Stegostoma tigrinum: one gene and its partner. The protein of the gene in region 1 interacts with the protein of each later gene in a pairwise test. Links are inferred from orthologs where the notes say so. Each region holds a gene or a part of one and is shown on either strand. Other genes may lie near its edges.

Region 1 (7,657 bases):
ATAGGCTTTTTCCCTCAGAATGGAAAAGTCAACAACAACAAGGCACAGGTTCAAGATGAGAGGGGGAAAGTTTAGGGGAGAAGTGCGGGAAAAAATCTTCACACAAGTGGTGGGTGCCTGGAATGCACTAGCAGTGGAGGTGGTGGAAGCAGGCACATTAGCAACATTCAAGGTGCATCTTGATAGACATACGAATGGGAGGCTAACAGATGGACTCAAACTGCCGATGGGCAATAATTAGTAGGTTTAAATAAGGAATAAGAATCGACACAGGCTTGGTGGGCTAAAGGGCCTGTTCTTGAGCTGTATTGCATTCATAGAGTTAACGATAGTTGCCTTTACTCTCAGATAGGGGATTTCAAGACTAGTGGGCACATTTTTAAGGTCAGAGGAGGTGAGCTATTTAGAAAAAGACATGAAAGGCATTTGTTTTTTTAAACACAGAGGTTGGTTTGCATGTGGAATGAACATCCTGAAGTGGCAGATATGGAGACAATTACAACATTTAAAAGGACATTTGGAAAGGTATACATATAGGACAGATTTGGAGGGATATGTGCCAGGAATTGCCAGGTGGGTCTAGTTTAATAAGAGTATATGCTGGTCACGAACTGGTTGGACCAAAGGGTCTGTTTCTGTGCTGTATGACTCTATGACAAAGTAATCAACTATCTTCCAAACATTACTTCTTGGTGCCACATTCTGTGCCAATGTTTTTCCATTACAAAGTTCCTACACTATATTATAATCGAAATTGTGTAAATTGGTCACTTTGGGCAAAAAAAACCTTAATATATTTTATCTCTGGTGTAGAGATTTTTACACAAATCTAATGAAAGTTTAGAATTGATGAGCTCCCACTGTAAAGACAGGAATATACATTAAATTCATGTAGTTTGCCCTCAGTTTTTTAGCATTTTTTTTTGCTTGGAATTAGGATTTACACAAAGAAAACTACTAAATTTGCAATCCATGAAACTTTAAAGATCTCTACACACCTCAAATTCCATTTTTTGATTTGGCCTGCTATTGACAACCAGGTCTTTGGTCAACTAGACCCAAGTTTGAGAATTCCCTCCACAAATTTCTTTGCCTCGCTCCCTTTTATAAGAGAGTCTGTAAATACATGGCCATGCCTTTGGTTAATTACTCCAGCATTTCCCTACATATCTCAGCATCAAACTTTGTTCAATAACTCTTCTGTCCTGTACATTACGGTGTTTTACTTTGTTGAAGGAGTTTCATTTCTGCAAGTTATTATTGTTAATGTATGAACTTCCTCCTACTTTAAATAATCCAAACACTTACACATTTCCTCAATTAATAATTCTTTCAAATCTATGTGCAATATTTCATTAACCTATTCCTTTGTGGTAGCAAGTTTCATATTCTCTTGGTTTTCCTTTTAACTAAATAGTGAGAACCGTGGATGCTGTAAAATCAGAAATTACTAGGAGAAGCTCAGCAGGTCTGGCAGCATCTGTGGATAGAAATCAGAATTAACATTTTGAGTCCAGTGACCCTTTGTCAGATCTCCCTCAGTTGGTTGGAATTATAACTTACACAAAGTTAAAGTTAAATTTACACCCTCTCACTTCTGAGGAAGGGTTACTGGGCCCAAAACATTAACTCTGGTTACTCTGCGCAGATGTTGCCACACCTACTGAGCTTTTCCACCAATTTCTGTTTTTGTATCTAGTTAGAAGGTTTTTCCTGACTACTTGTTTGGTCTTAAGAACAAATAATGAAAAAAAAAATTCTGTGCCTTCAGAGGAAACAGCAAATAAAAACTACTCAAACAGTACTATAACAAACCATGACAAGGTCTGGCTTGGATTTTACACCGGGATGGGAAGGCGCTCCATATACCCGTTCACCACTTGATGGCGGGCAACACACGTTCTATATTTTCACCGTGATCACATTACATATCAAATAAAAGAAACATAGGATTAACTAAGAATATTTTCGAAATTACCACTACCACAAAATCAATAATTGGTAAATACATTAATTTATTGTTTTTTTAAACTAAGAAGTACACAACCTTCAGTGTATTAATAAAGAAATACGATACCGCGACCCCCAAACTCTCCGTATATAAATAACTTGTCTCAGGCACTGTTGATGCACGCCAAACAGCTGAGTCACCTTTTACTATACTTTAACATTTGTATTTAATTTTGATAAAACAAAAGTAGCATTTCTATGTGCCATCTTTTTGAATTTTCAAAAGTTTTTTAAAAAGTTATTTTAAAAAGTATCTTCCTTCACCTTTGACTTTAATTCTCTTCCTTTCCATAACTCTTTAAAAACATATTTAAGAAGTCCCTTACTTTTAACTTGCCTTTTAAAGTGCTTTTTGAAATTGAACGTTACTCGTTCAAATAAAGCTGACAAATCATAATACTAGCTGACTCCTGACGCTTTGCTTTGTAAGACTTTCCTCCTTAGTTCTGTTTAAATGATCGGGATCACACGCCCACTGACATGTCAAGCCCCACACACTTTTTGTTTGCTTTCTGTTACATTCTGGCCCCATTAGGTTGCTGAGTTGCTGCGGTCTCTCTCTGTTTCGTTTAACAAAGTCCAGAACTGCCACACTGTCGACAGCCTGTCGCTATCAGTTAGGTTCCTAAATCCAGAGGAGCATCGTTAGTTTGTGCAGTCATTCACGTGTCAGTGGAAAACTTCCAGCGAGAAAGTTTCCGTGTGCGCGATCCCCCTCCCAAAAGGGCAGCCTGCCTACTTACAGGGGAGTCAAAGGAGAAGGCGCATTCGCTCTTGTAAACCCTGTCCCCTGATCTAGGGACTCGGATGGTTGGCATGTACGGCACCAGCAGTTCTCCGATGTCTGCAGCCATGTTGACATTCCTAACCCAGAATGCTGTTCAGGGCAGACATTGATAGCGAAGTGAGCAGAAGCTGGGCGAGCAAAGACTGCAGGACGATACACTATTTTTAACCCAGTGCAAGCTCGCAGCCCTCCCTCCAGCCATCGGACCTGCTGACGCTTCTGCTCTCGTCTTTAAAAAAAACCCGGACACTGGTGGAGATTACAGGGACCTTATACAGAGAGAGCTGGCAATAAACAATCGCAAAGTACCAGCGTTTCAACAAATCTCCTCGAGCTGGTCCTCAATTAATCGCCCAACTTCCTTGCAGATGAGTTCCAAGAGTTTATTGCCAAATGATAGCGCAGCCGACCCGGCATCAGAGAAGAATACGAGAGAAAAGGTACCAGAATTCCGAAATACAGACAGGAAATGCAGGAAACTCTCAGCCGGTCAGGCTGGACTCCCCACTCTGACCCACTAAATCGGGCTCAACATAGAGGAGACGACAATGAAAACACTGGTTTGAGAAGGTGGATGTCGGAACAAATAATCACGAGTGTCCCAGAGCAGAAGGAAGCCATTCAGCCCATTATACCTATCCCTGCTGGTTAAATGAGCATCATTGCCCAATTCCAATGTCCGGCTTCGCCACACCCCGCCCCATATTCTTGCACGTTATCTTTTATCCAAAATGCCTCAATTGAACATGCGTCCACCATACTTCTAGACAGTGCATTCAGATTCTAATTACTCATTGAGTGAAATAAAATTATCCTTACTTCTTTCACTTATCATTTTAAATCTATGTCCTTTAGTTTTTGTTCCTTTTACATTTGGGAACAGTTTCTTCCTTTCGATTCTATCCAGCCTGCTCATGATTTTGTAAACTGCTGTCAGAGTTCATGTTAGCCTTGTTTGTCCAGGGAGAATAGTCCCAACCTTTCCAATCTAACTGAAGTTCCTCATCTGTGGAACTGTTCTTGTAAACAGCTTCTGTACTCTCTCCACAATGCATCAATAATGTGGCACCCAGAAATGTACCCAACACTCTGGCTGAGATACCTTATGTAGTAATGAAGAAGTTAATTAGAGTAATCTGTGTTTTCAAGGGATGAAGCATAGAAAAATGGCACAGTGTTAAAATATAATGTAAATTTATACTCTGGACAAACCAAAATGAAAGAAGGTATGGTGAATAGCAAGGATCTTTCCCTGACAGTGGGAAGTTCAAAACTGGGGGGCATATTTTAAGGTGAGAGTAGAAAGTTTTAAAAAGGACACGAGAGGCAACCTTTTTACGCAGAGGGTGGTTTGTACATGGTTTGAAGTGCCAGGGGAAGTGGTGGATGCAGGTACAGTTACAGCATCTAAAAGACATTTGGATAAGTATGTGAATAGGAAAGGTTTAGAGGGGTATGGTCCAAACGCAGGCAAGTGGGACTAGTTTAGATTGAGAATATGGTCAGTGTGGTCTAGTTGGACCAAAGGGTCTGTTTCCATGCGTTATGACTTTATGACTAATCAGATTATTTACAATCCTCAAATCTAAATTGTCCAGTTTGGTGATAAACAGAAGAAAAGGACAAGATAAAGACTTAACAGCTGGTTAATCTGCAAAGTAAAGAAGCCATTTAAGATTGCAGGGAATAAATCTTTCTCTAAGTACATCTGTATTTGAAGAAGGTAATACCTTGAATGGCATTAAGTGGGAATATGGATGAACACTCAGGAAATCAGAGATATTTTAAGATATTTCTTTGTATCATTCACAAGATTTAGACTTTAGGTAAGAAAAGCAAAAGGCAAGTCATACTTTACCATTCTCTCATATATTTCAATATAGCAACTGATTTCAAAATTCCACAGCCTCTCCCCTGGAGTTGGACTTTGTTGATGTTTGACAGGAGATCAATGGGATGGGGTATCTGATCAGAATGAATTTATCCTGCTTTTGTGGACAGGACATACCTGGATAATTTGCACTTTGTTGATTAGATTCCAGTGTTTTAGCTCTAGTAGAACAATTCAGTTATGAGTATGGTTAGCCCTGAAGTGCAAGTCATCAGTGCTATGGCGAGGATGTTTCCAAGGCTCATATGCTTTGTCTATGAAGTTGCATTGACATCACGTGGGGTAAATAGAATTGATAGAATTGGCTAAAGACTGGCATCTCCAATACAGAGACCTTCAGTTTTAGCTTGGAATGCATCGTTCGCTCAACACTTGTCATTGAAGACAATTGCAAGCATTTCAGCATTGTGTTCACTGGTCAACTGAGATATATTAAATACCAGGAAAGGAATGATTGTGGAGTCTCCACCTTCTGTTTAATTATTTTCATGAAATTCTATAATATTTCTGCTTCCAGTAGTTTTCACATAAAATGTATTCAGTTAAGTGCTGGTTATAATTTATATTTTGTTTTCTTACCATATGTGCAATTGACATGAGATCTAGATTGCAAAACAGATTTACTGCCCAGAGCAATCATTCTTGTGGTAGTGTCATCAATTAAATACTTTTAATATTTTCAAAGGATGCAAGAAAGAATCCTGCAGAAACAGTTCTGATTCAGCTGTTACATATAATTTCTGTGCTGTACTTTAATGTGGTAAAGGTTCCAAAGTGCATCACAGGAATAAAAGACTTTCAAAACAAAACTTGATACTAACTCAGATAAGAAAGTAGTACAAGGGATGATTAAAAACTGCTTTTAGGATTCATCCCTATGGAGAAAGAGGCTAATTGGTTTAGTGAATGAACTTCAGACCTAAGGTCTTAGGCAATTGACAGCATAACCACCAGTGGTAGAATGATTAATATCAGTGATAAGCAAAGCAATTGAAGTGCACAGAGATCTCAGAGAGTTGTAGAACAGGTAGGAGAATACTAAGACGCTAAAGGAATTTGAAAATACAGGCGCAAAATTAAAAATTGATGCATTCTCAGACCATGATCAACAAACTCAAAATGTTGTGGTTGAACAGGACTTTGTATAATATACAGACAGCAAGAGATTCACATAACCTAACATTTTTGGAAAGTAGGAGGCTAGCCATAAGTCCTTGGGACAACTAAGTCTAGAGATAACAGAATCATGGATGATAGTTTCAACAGCAGATGAGCTGAGGTAACGGAAGTAAGAGGAACCTTGCAGCAATTTTAAAAAAACGGCAGTTTTGATGCAGTGGTTATGTGATCAGTAGTTCAACTTAGAATCATATAGATACCAACTTATGAGTAGCAGTACAGCTTAGTCAAAAGTACAAATTTTGATGGACTTCGTAGCTAAAGAATAGACAATGAAGACAATGGTTTTGAGATTCCTGTTATTTAGCTTGAAGTTCATTAAGAAACCATGAAAGAGCTGAGCGAGGATATATGTAATGGAGATGGGTGTTGTCAGTATACATGTGGAAACATATTCCGAGTACAGTTTATAAGTGAGAAACTAATTGAAGTAACTCCACAGAGGCTAGTATCCCTTCACCAAGCCCCCTTTATTTACACGTGCGCAGTACCTGACACTGGGTTGACTTCCTCAGAGCCAGATCTCAAAGTGAACAATACCTCTGATACTCTTGTTTCTGTCTGTCATCCAGGGTTCCCTGATTGGACCAGGTTAACAGCCCCAATCAGAGAACTCATATTCTATGAGGTCCTCCTGACTGACCTCATTACAATCACTACACTAATGTTTGATTCAATATAATTTAGATTCTGATACAGTCTACTGATAAGTCAAAGTAATTTATTTTTCAGTGCAATAATTGAATTATCTAATCATTTGAATTGAAAGAGTAGACCTTCAATCCATTCTGAGTCAGAACAAGAGAACAAGGAGTGTTAATAAAATAAATTGATACTGTAGCAAATTGATATTACTTTAATTGTCCTCATTGCGGCAGCAAATCTCTAGAAGATTTACAATTTCATGCACAGCACTGTTGTACAATTCATTCATGTTAATCAACACTGATGATGATGTGGAAAGCGAATTTTGCTTAATAGAAGATAAAAGGCTTCAGCTGCTATTCTAATCAATGAGTAACGAACAATTGAATATTGCATCAATTACAAAATTAATGAATTTTAAATACATAAACAACAGAAATTGCTGCTGTATAAAAACAAACTTGTTTACTTCATCATTATCAGCATCTGGGAAAGTCATTATCAGGTTGTTTTTATACCACTGTACTATATGGTGAAAACCAGTGAGACACACTGTTATGCACTGTAAAATCAAGTTGCCATGGGGGTTGATGATTTCACTAAAGAAACAAAGAACAACCTTAACACCAGTGAGACTCCATGGGGAAGGGAATATTTGCATTTAGGAAAGAGATATGCATCAATTCATAGAGAGCAGAGGTGTGCATAATAAGAGAAAATGTAGAGCTTAGGAGGCAAAGAGGTACTATGGAATTGAATTATATAGGAACACAAAACAAAATATGCAATCTGGAAGGAACAGCTCCAAAAGTGAAAAATTGAGAACCTGTTGGCAATAAAACAAACAAGACTTCAATAAAGTTTACATATTTGCATTTAAATAATGCTGGGAAAAGCTGTCCAATAAGTTTGCCAATATGATTCACAGCTCAAAAGTCACAAAATGACCATCACAAATGGTAAGAATCCATTGACTGCAAATTAGGTCTTTTGTATCTAGTTTTTAATTGATTGGGCAGTTGTGAATGCCACATGTACAAAAACTCGAATGAAAAAATATAACATGAGGAAGGTCATTTTTGTCTGTGAAGTTTATACTTCCATAGATACTTGCAGTTATACCACCACAGTTTATAGAATGATTC
Region 2 (7,530 bases), on another chromosome or scaffold:
AGGTGAAAAGCATGCTGAGAGTAGTTATATTATGATAGAATAGTACATAACAGTAAAACTAAATACAAAAAGATAAAGAGAGTGAACGTGACACAAAAATGTGCATATATTAATTATATTGAGAATTACAGCAATAATGTTGATTTAAACAGCTGCCCAGCATTCTTCATGTAACATCTGTGTTTGTTTGATGGCAGTACTGTAAGCCATATCAAGGATGGTGTCCCTGGGGGTGTGACCTCTAATAAGGATGGTGTGACTGGGGGTGAGTGAATTGTATGGGCGATGGTGTGACTGGGGTTAGGTCAGTTGTATGGGTGAAGGTGTTTCTGGGAGTAAGTGAAAGGGTCTCAGAGCCTTATGATGGAGGTGGAAATAGGTTTTGCATAAAACTCAGAGGTAAAGTGAAATATGCCATGGGCTGCACGGTGGTGACAAAGTTTCTCAGAGGTTTTGTTGTTTTCTGATCATAGTTACTGTAATTAACCTTCACCCACAATAGTGAACGGCCAACTGTGCCTGACATTTTCAAAGGGCTATAACTTGCTTCACAATGGATGAAATTGCTTTTAAGACAAATTGTATTGAGATGTATAGGTGAGGCAGGGAAATGCCATGCCAAGAGTTTTCATCCCATCAGCTCTTTTGGGATTCGATCATTTTGGCAGTTAGTAATTGCAGATAGTTGAATTTTATTAGTCTTCACTGGGAGGAAATAGCTTCCAATGGGTGGGCTCCCAGACATAGATGTGACTCCACTCCTTCTGCACCAGAAAAATTGGACATGTGCCATCACACACAAGGCTGATGGTGATTGGTCGTCAGCCTGCTGACCCAATGGCAATGGGGTTTCTGTCTGCCTGGGTCAACAGTATCAGGGATTAACGTGTAATAAAGTCTGTACTTCCACTGAGCCTGGAATTCTGGCAGGAAATTCAGTCTCATTCGAAATGTTAGGGTCATGTCCCGAGGAACCTTTGGATCAGCATTTAGAATGTGGTGTGTAGTAAGACAGAGTACAGTATGTGGTATCGACCCATAGGAAAATGGATAAACAATTTCAAAACATAAATAGCTTACAATAATACTGTGTCATATGTTTTCATGTTAATTATTCCAAGACCCTTCAAGAGTGCGTTATGTAACAAAACGAACTGTGTAAGGGAACATCAGAGAAAGAGACATAGGGTTTACAAAGCATCTTCAACAGACAAAAGTAGGGCAAGAATTCCAGAATTTGTCGGCCAGGAAACATTGCATTCATCCACAGGATGCAAGGATCACCTCCTAAGCCATCGTATTTCTTGCCCATCCCTAGCTGCCCAGAAAACAACCAAATAGCTGTGGGTCTGGAGTCACATGTAGACCGTACCAGGTCAGGATGGCAGCTTCCTTCCTTGAACAAGAAATTAATGAGCCAGATTTTTTTTCCCGCAGATTATAGAACTGGGGAGAGGTAAGGCATGGAGAGATTTGAAATCAAGGCTGAGAAATTTTAAATCAAGATACTGCTTAAGTGGGAGCCAGCAGTATGTATGGGGTAATGGGTGACCAGTCTGAATAAGAACATAGACAGTGGAGTTTTCGATGACCTGAAATTTATGAAAGGTACAAGACGAGACACATTGAGGAATAACGAATAACCAAATCGCAAAGTGGCTGAAGCACAGATCCCGAAGAAATCACTTTGAGTTCTGTGAGCAGATCTGGGCCTCATTCCTTAGGAAGCATATATTAAACCTTGGAGGGAGCACAATGTAAGTTTCCAAGAATGATACCTGGACTTTGGGGATTAAGTTATGAGGAGAAATTATATAAATTATACCTGTTTTCTCTAGAATTTAGAAGTTAAAGGGTGATCTAATCAAAGTTTTCAGATATTAACAGGAAAGGACAGAGGAGATAAAGATAAACTACTCCCATTGATAGGCGATACTAGAACTAGGGTCATAGTCTAAGAGTTGGGGCCAAATCATTCAGGAGAGACGCTAGGAAGCATTTTTACATGCAAAGGTTGGTAGATATTTGGAATTCTCATCTGCAAACTTTAGTGGATATTGGATCATTTGTTAATTTTAAATCTGAGATAAATAAACTTTTGTTAAACAAGGGTATTTAAAGATATGGGCCAAAGGCAGGTATATGGAGTTAGGGACAAACACAGCAATTGCTGGAAAAGCCCAGCAGGTTTGGCAGCTTCTGAGAAGGGAAATCAGGGGTACTGTTTCAGGTCTGGTGACCCTTCCTCAGAACTGATTATCAGACCTGAAACATTAACTCTGATTTCTCTTCAAAGATGCTGCTGGACCCGCTGAGTTTTTCCAGCAATTTCTGTGCTTGTTTCCGATTTACAGTGTCTGCAGCCTTTTGTCAGTTTTTATATGGAGTTAGGATCAGTTAGGAACTCATTGACTGGTGGAACAGGCTTGAGGGGCTGAACGGCCTACTTGTGTTTCTATGTCTCCATAAAGGCCTAAATTGCTCAAGCACGTTGCTTAATACTCTATTTCTCTAAAACAACCTCCTTAAGCTATGTTCACATGAAAGGCATTTTCCCACAAAATTCCTTAGAAAAAGTTGTGGAACGAAAATAATGTTGCATAGAATATCAGTTAAAACCTTATGCCACTCTAGCCCTTGCTGGGGTAAATGATCGTGACCTGTTTTCTGATGAGGGAGGCCATTCTGTCCTTTAGATCAGGAGTACAAAACTTGCTTTGTGATCACTACTCTACAAATGAATTCACTTTGTGCTTTCTCACTCTCACACATGACCCATACATGGCTCTTAACTTACCTGGAACATGTCACTCGCACACTTCCGGCACAAGTTATGCTGACATGGGAGAATAACAACGGGTTTGGAAAACATTTCTAGACAGATTGGGCAAATCAGTTGCTTTTCCAAGTTGTCCATGGTTTGCCGGTCTTTGGCCAAAAGGTTGTAGTCCATGGAAGTGGTCATGACCGAAAGTTTCCGAGATCAGTGCTAACTATTAAAGTTAGGTTCAGAAATGAAGCTGCCTCCCAGCTGCTCTTCTTGCTTTTTCTGCCCGGCTTGGTCTGAGGCTATGACCCAGTTGATTGGAACACATCCTACTGTTTCTGCATGTCTGACATTGTCTCGGATTGGATTGGTAGGTTTGATGATGCTTTTAGCAGCAGTATGTCAGCTGTTGCTATGTTTGCAGTGCACCATTATTGCCTTATATGAAACTGACACTAAATGACACTGACTGCCAGAGCTGCTGCCTATCTCCTTCTTTCTCTCCAAATTTACACCTGTCAGCACTCACTCTCAAAACAGCTACTTCTCTGGACACTGACATTTAGCAATAAAGTTCTTTAACCAAGTTGAAACAAAAACATCAAATAGAATAACTTTTGCCAAATTCACAGCTCCCAAAATAGTAATACAGCAATATGTAAATTGTGTTTTATTAAAATAGCTTGGGATCATGACAATGACTGCTGACAGTCCTGACAGCTCTGTCCAAGCCTTCTCGAACTTCGACCCCAGTCAAAGCATAAAATAACAAAGAAATGCTGTGCTTGGCTTGTATTTTTTTCCGTGATGAAACAGAACACACTGTCGCTTTTTGCTTTACAGATAAAGAGATGAAATAGCTCCTAACATCATTCAAATAAAACAAAAATCTGTGGAGACTGAATATCTGAAACAAAATCAGAAATTGCTGGAGAAACTCTGTCAGCATCTGTGGAGAGAATGCAGAGTTAATGTTTCAGCGCTTGAGAACAGTTCTGAAGAAGGGTCACAAACAGAAACAAATTACTGGTAAAAGTCAGCTGGTCTGACAACAATTGTGGAGAGAAATCAGAGTTAACATTTTGGGGCAAGAGACCCTTCCTCAGTTCTTAGCAATTCCAGAACAATTTCTGTTTTTGTTTCTGATTTTCGACATTTGCAGTTTTTTCAGTTTTCTGAAGAAAGGTCACTGGATTTTAAGTGTTAACTTTGCTTTCACTCCACAGAGTCTATCAGACATGCTGAGTTTGTTCAGCTTTTGCTGTTTTTGTTTCTTTTCAATTCTCTATGCATTTGGGACGGGATGGGGGATCAGTTAGCTGGCTTGCATTGCAGAGTGATACCAGAGGTGTGGGTTCAATTCCTGCATGGGCTGAAGTTACTGTGAAAGACTCTCTGTCTCGACCTCTCCCATCATGTGAAGGCACAGTGACCCACAGGTTAAACCACAAGCCATCCATGGTCTGATAAGGCAATGGCAATTTTAACTTTTACCTTATCTGCATGTTGGTTTGAAACAAAATTAAAAATTTGAAGAAGTATTTCAATTTTAAACAGACACATGGGGTATTCTTACTATGACAAATAATTCTTTTTTTAAGGAATTGCTACAGTGTGAAAGCAGGCCATTTGGCCCATTAGGTCCACACCAACCCTCTGAAAAGCATCCCACCACATGACTCTGCCCTACACACTATGGGCTGATTTAGCATGGTCATGTCACCTAACCTGCACATCTTTGGACCATGGGAGGAAACCCTTGCAGAAACAGGGAGAACATGCAAACTCTACACAGGCAGCTACCTAAAAGCAGACTTGAACCCAAGTCCCCAGTAGCTGTGAAGTAGTAGTGGTATTAATTGTTGAGCCACTGTGGAAATTCAAAGCATTGCTTTGTTCTGAACTATTTATGAGACACAGCTGTTGATTTGAATTTGCTTTTGGATGTTCTCCAGGCTCCGCTTGGAGCAGCACCACACCTACCTAAAAATGAGGAGCCAATCTGTGAAGTGACGATGCAGAGCTATATGTTTGTCAACCAGTATCGTAGGACCAACCGTCTTCAGCTGCTTTATCAATGACCTATCCTATATAGGGACAGGAGTAGGCCATTCAGCCCCTCAAGCCTGTTCCACCATTGAATGAGATCATGGCTGACCTGAGACCTAACTCCATAATTTAGATATCCCAAAATAAATGAGCTAATAATGAAGATTTTCTACTAAACTCATGAATTTCCTTACCCATAAAGGCATACTCCATCAGTGTTCAGTTTCTGAAATTGCTTATGCATGACTTGACAAATGTAACATCATTTTATATTGCAGCTGCAATAACTTGCCCTTCCATATACCCATCCAGCTACTTCTTAAAAGTTGTAATTGTATCAGCCTGTACCACTTTCTCTGGCAGCACATTCCATACATGCATCCATACTGTGTGAAAAAAGTGCCTTAGATCTCTTTTAAATCTTTCCCCTCTCACCTTAAACCTATGCAGCTCATTAGTGTTATTCAAATTAGGCCCGAAACCAAATTTGTCTTGGTTCTCAAACCTGTTTTGAACTCAAATTTCTTGGTCACTGCAATTCATTATGGCACAACTGCAGATCATAACGTTTTGAATGAGAAGTGATATACTGCAGATCCAATCGTGGCTAACAACATATCTGCACAATCATTGTTACCATGCAGACAATCAGTGTAATGTGACACATTCAGGCAGACGTGTAGAGGGTCAAAATAATATTCAATGCATTTAACCAGCCATTAGGAGCGTGTCAATAGTAAATTGGCAAAAACATTATCAGTTTAATGTGCGCTCAACAATGTATCCTGGAGAATGTTGGCAGAATGCTTGATGTGCACAACATAATATCATGAACGATCACCTCTCACTGGACTTGATTGGCATAGCAGCAAGTTTTGAAAAACTGTGTGGATAATTATCACCGAAGCACCTTTCCTGCTCACAGCCATTGGACCACAAATGAAAATTATCTGAAAACTTCCCAAGCAAGTGAAACATTGTAACAGAGACTAATTTGATAAAATATTAATTCAGCATGAAAGTCGGGAAGCGCCTAATCATACAGTGAGTAATGTTTGGAATGGTGTTGTAGGTGAAATAACAGAATTAAAACTGGATTAGTTCAGGAGGCACTACATCACAGTGAAGCAGCATCAAGTGGTGGACGCAGGTACAATTATAACATTTAAAAGACATTTTGATAAGTACTTGAATAGGAAAGGTTTGGAGGGATATGGGCTGGAAGCTGGCAGATACAGCTAGTTTAGTTTGGGATTATGGTTGGCATTGACTGGTTGGATTGAAGAATCTGTTTCCATGCTGTATGGCTCTACGGCTCTATGAGCTGGATTACTCTGTTACTAAAGCCGGACAACTATGTTGACAAAGACTATAATGTCCTGAATAGAGTGTGGTGAAGGTTCACCTAATTGATTCCTGGGGCGGCAGGACTGACGTCTGAGGAGAGATTGAATCAATTAGAACATAGAACATAGAACATAGAACAGCACAGAACAGGCCCTTCAGCCCACAATGTTGTGCCGACCATTGATCCTCATGTATGCACCCTCAAATTTCTGTGACCATATACATGTCCAGCAGTCTCTTAAATGACCCCAATGACCTTGCTTCCACAACTGCTGCTGGCAACGCATTCCATGCTCCCACAACTCTCTGCGTAAAGAACCTGCCTCTGACATCCCCTCTATACTTTCCTCCAAACAGCTTAAAACTATGACCCCTCGTGCTAGCCATTTCTGCCCTGGGAAATAGTCTCTGGCTATCAACTCTATCTATGCCTCTCATTATCTTGTATACCTCAATTAGGTCCCCTCTCCTCCTCCTTTTCTCCAATGAAAAGAGACCGAGCTCAGTCAACCTCTCTTCATAAGATAAGCCCTTCAGTCCAGGCAGCATCCTGGTAAACCTCCTCTGAACCCTCTCCAAAGCATCCACATCTTTCCTATAATAGGGCGCCCAGAACTGGATGCAGTATTCCAAGTGCGGTCTAACCAAAGTTTTATAGAGCTGCAACAAGATCTCACGACTCTTAAACTCAATCCCCCTGTTAATGAAAGCCAAAACACCATATGCTTTCTTAACAACCCTGTCCACTTGGGTGGCCATTTTAAGGGATCTATGTATCTGCACACCAAGATCCCTCTGTTCCTCCACGCTGCCAAGAATCCTATCCTTAATCCTGTACTCAGCTTTCAAATTCGACCTTCCAAAATGCATCACCTCGCATTTATCCAGGTTGAACTCCATCTGCCACCTCTCAGCCCATCTCTGCATCCTGTCAATGTCCCGCTGCAGCCTACAACAGCCCTCTACACTGTCAACGACACCTCCGACCTTTGTGTCGTCTGCAAACTTGCTGACCCATCCTTCAATCCCCTCGTCCAAGTCATTAATAAAAATTACAAACAGTAGAGGCCCAAGGACAGAGCCCTGTGGAACTCCACTCACCACTGACTTCCAGGCAGAATATTTTCCTTCTACTACCACTCGCTGTCTTCTGTTGGCCAGCCAATTCTGTATCCAAGCAGCTAAGTTCCCCTGTATCCCATTCCTCCTGACCTTCTGAATGAGCCTACCATGGGGAACCTTATCAAATGCCTTACTGAAGTCCATATACACCACATCCACAGCTCGACCCTCATCAACTTTTCTAGTCACATCCTCAAAAAACTCAATAAGGTTTGTAAGGCATGACCTACCCCTCACAAAGCTGT

The links. The genes of interacting proteins can lie anywhere in the genome.
Region 2: the proteins of usp13 (region 1) and trim55a interact in a two-hybrid assay, tested with the Homo sapiens proteins (2 studies listed by BioGRID and IntAct). The link is inferred for Stegostoma tigrinum from reciprocal best matches to the Homo sapiens genes USP13 and TRIM55.

Annotation. Positions count from the first base shown.
Region 1 is NC_081367.1:37,019,768-37,027,424, reverse strand, and holds the start of usp13 (ubiquitin carboxyl-terminal hydrolase 13), read right to left. Parts: upstream 3,014-7,657; 5' UTR 2,865-3,013; coding exon 2,754-2,864; intron 1-2,753. UniProt on the Homo sapiens protein: Deubiquitinase that mediates deubiquitination of target proteins such as BECN1, MITF, SKP2 and USP10 and is involved in various processes such as autophagy, endoplasmic reticulum-associated degradation (ERAD), cell cycle progression or DNA damage response.
Region 2 is NC_081358.1:31,972,661-31,980,190, forward strand, and holds the start of trim55a (tripartite motif-containing protein 55a), read right to left. Parts: upstream 3,067-7,530; 5' UTR 2,966-3,066; coding exon 2,798-2,965; intron 1-2,797. UniProt on the Homo sapiens protein: E3 ubiquitin ligase that plays an important role in regulating cardiac development and contractility, muscle growth, metabolism, and fiber-type differentiation.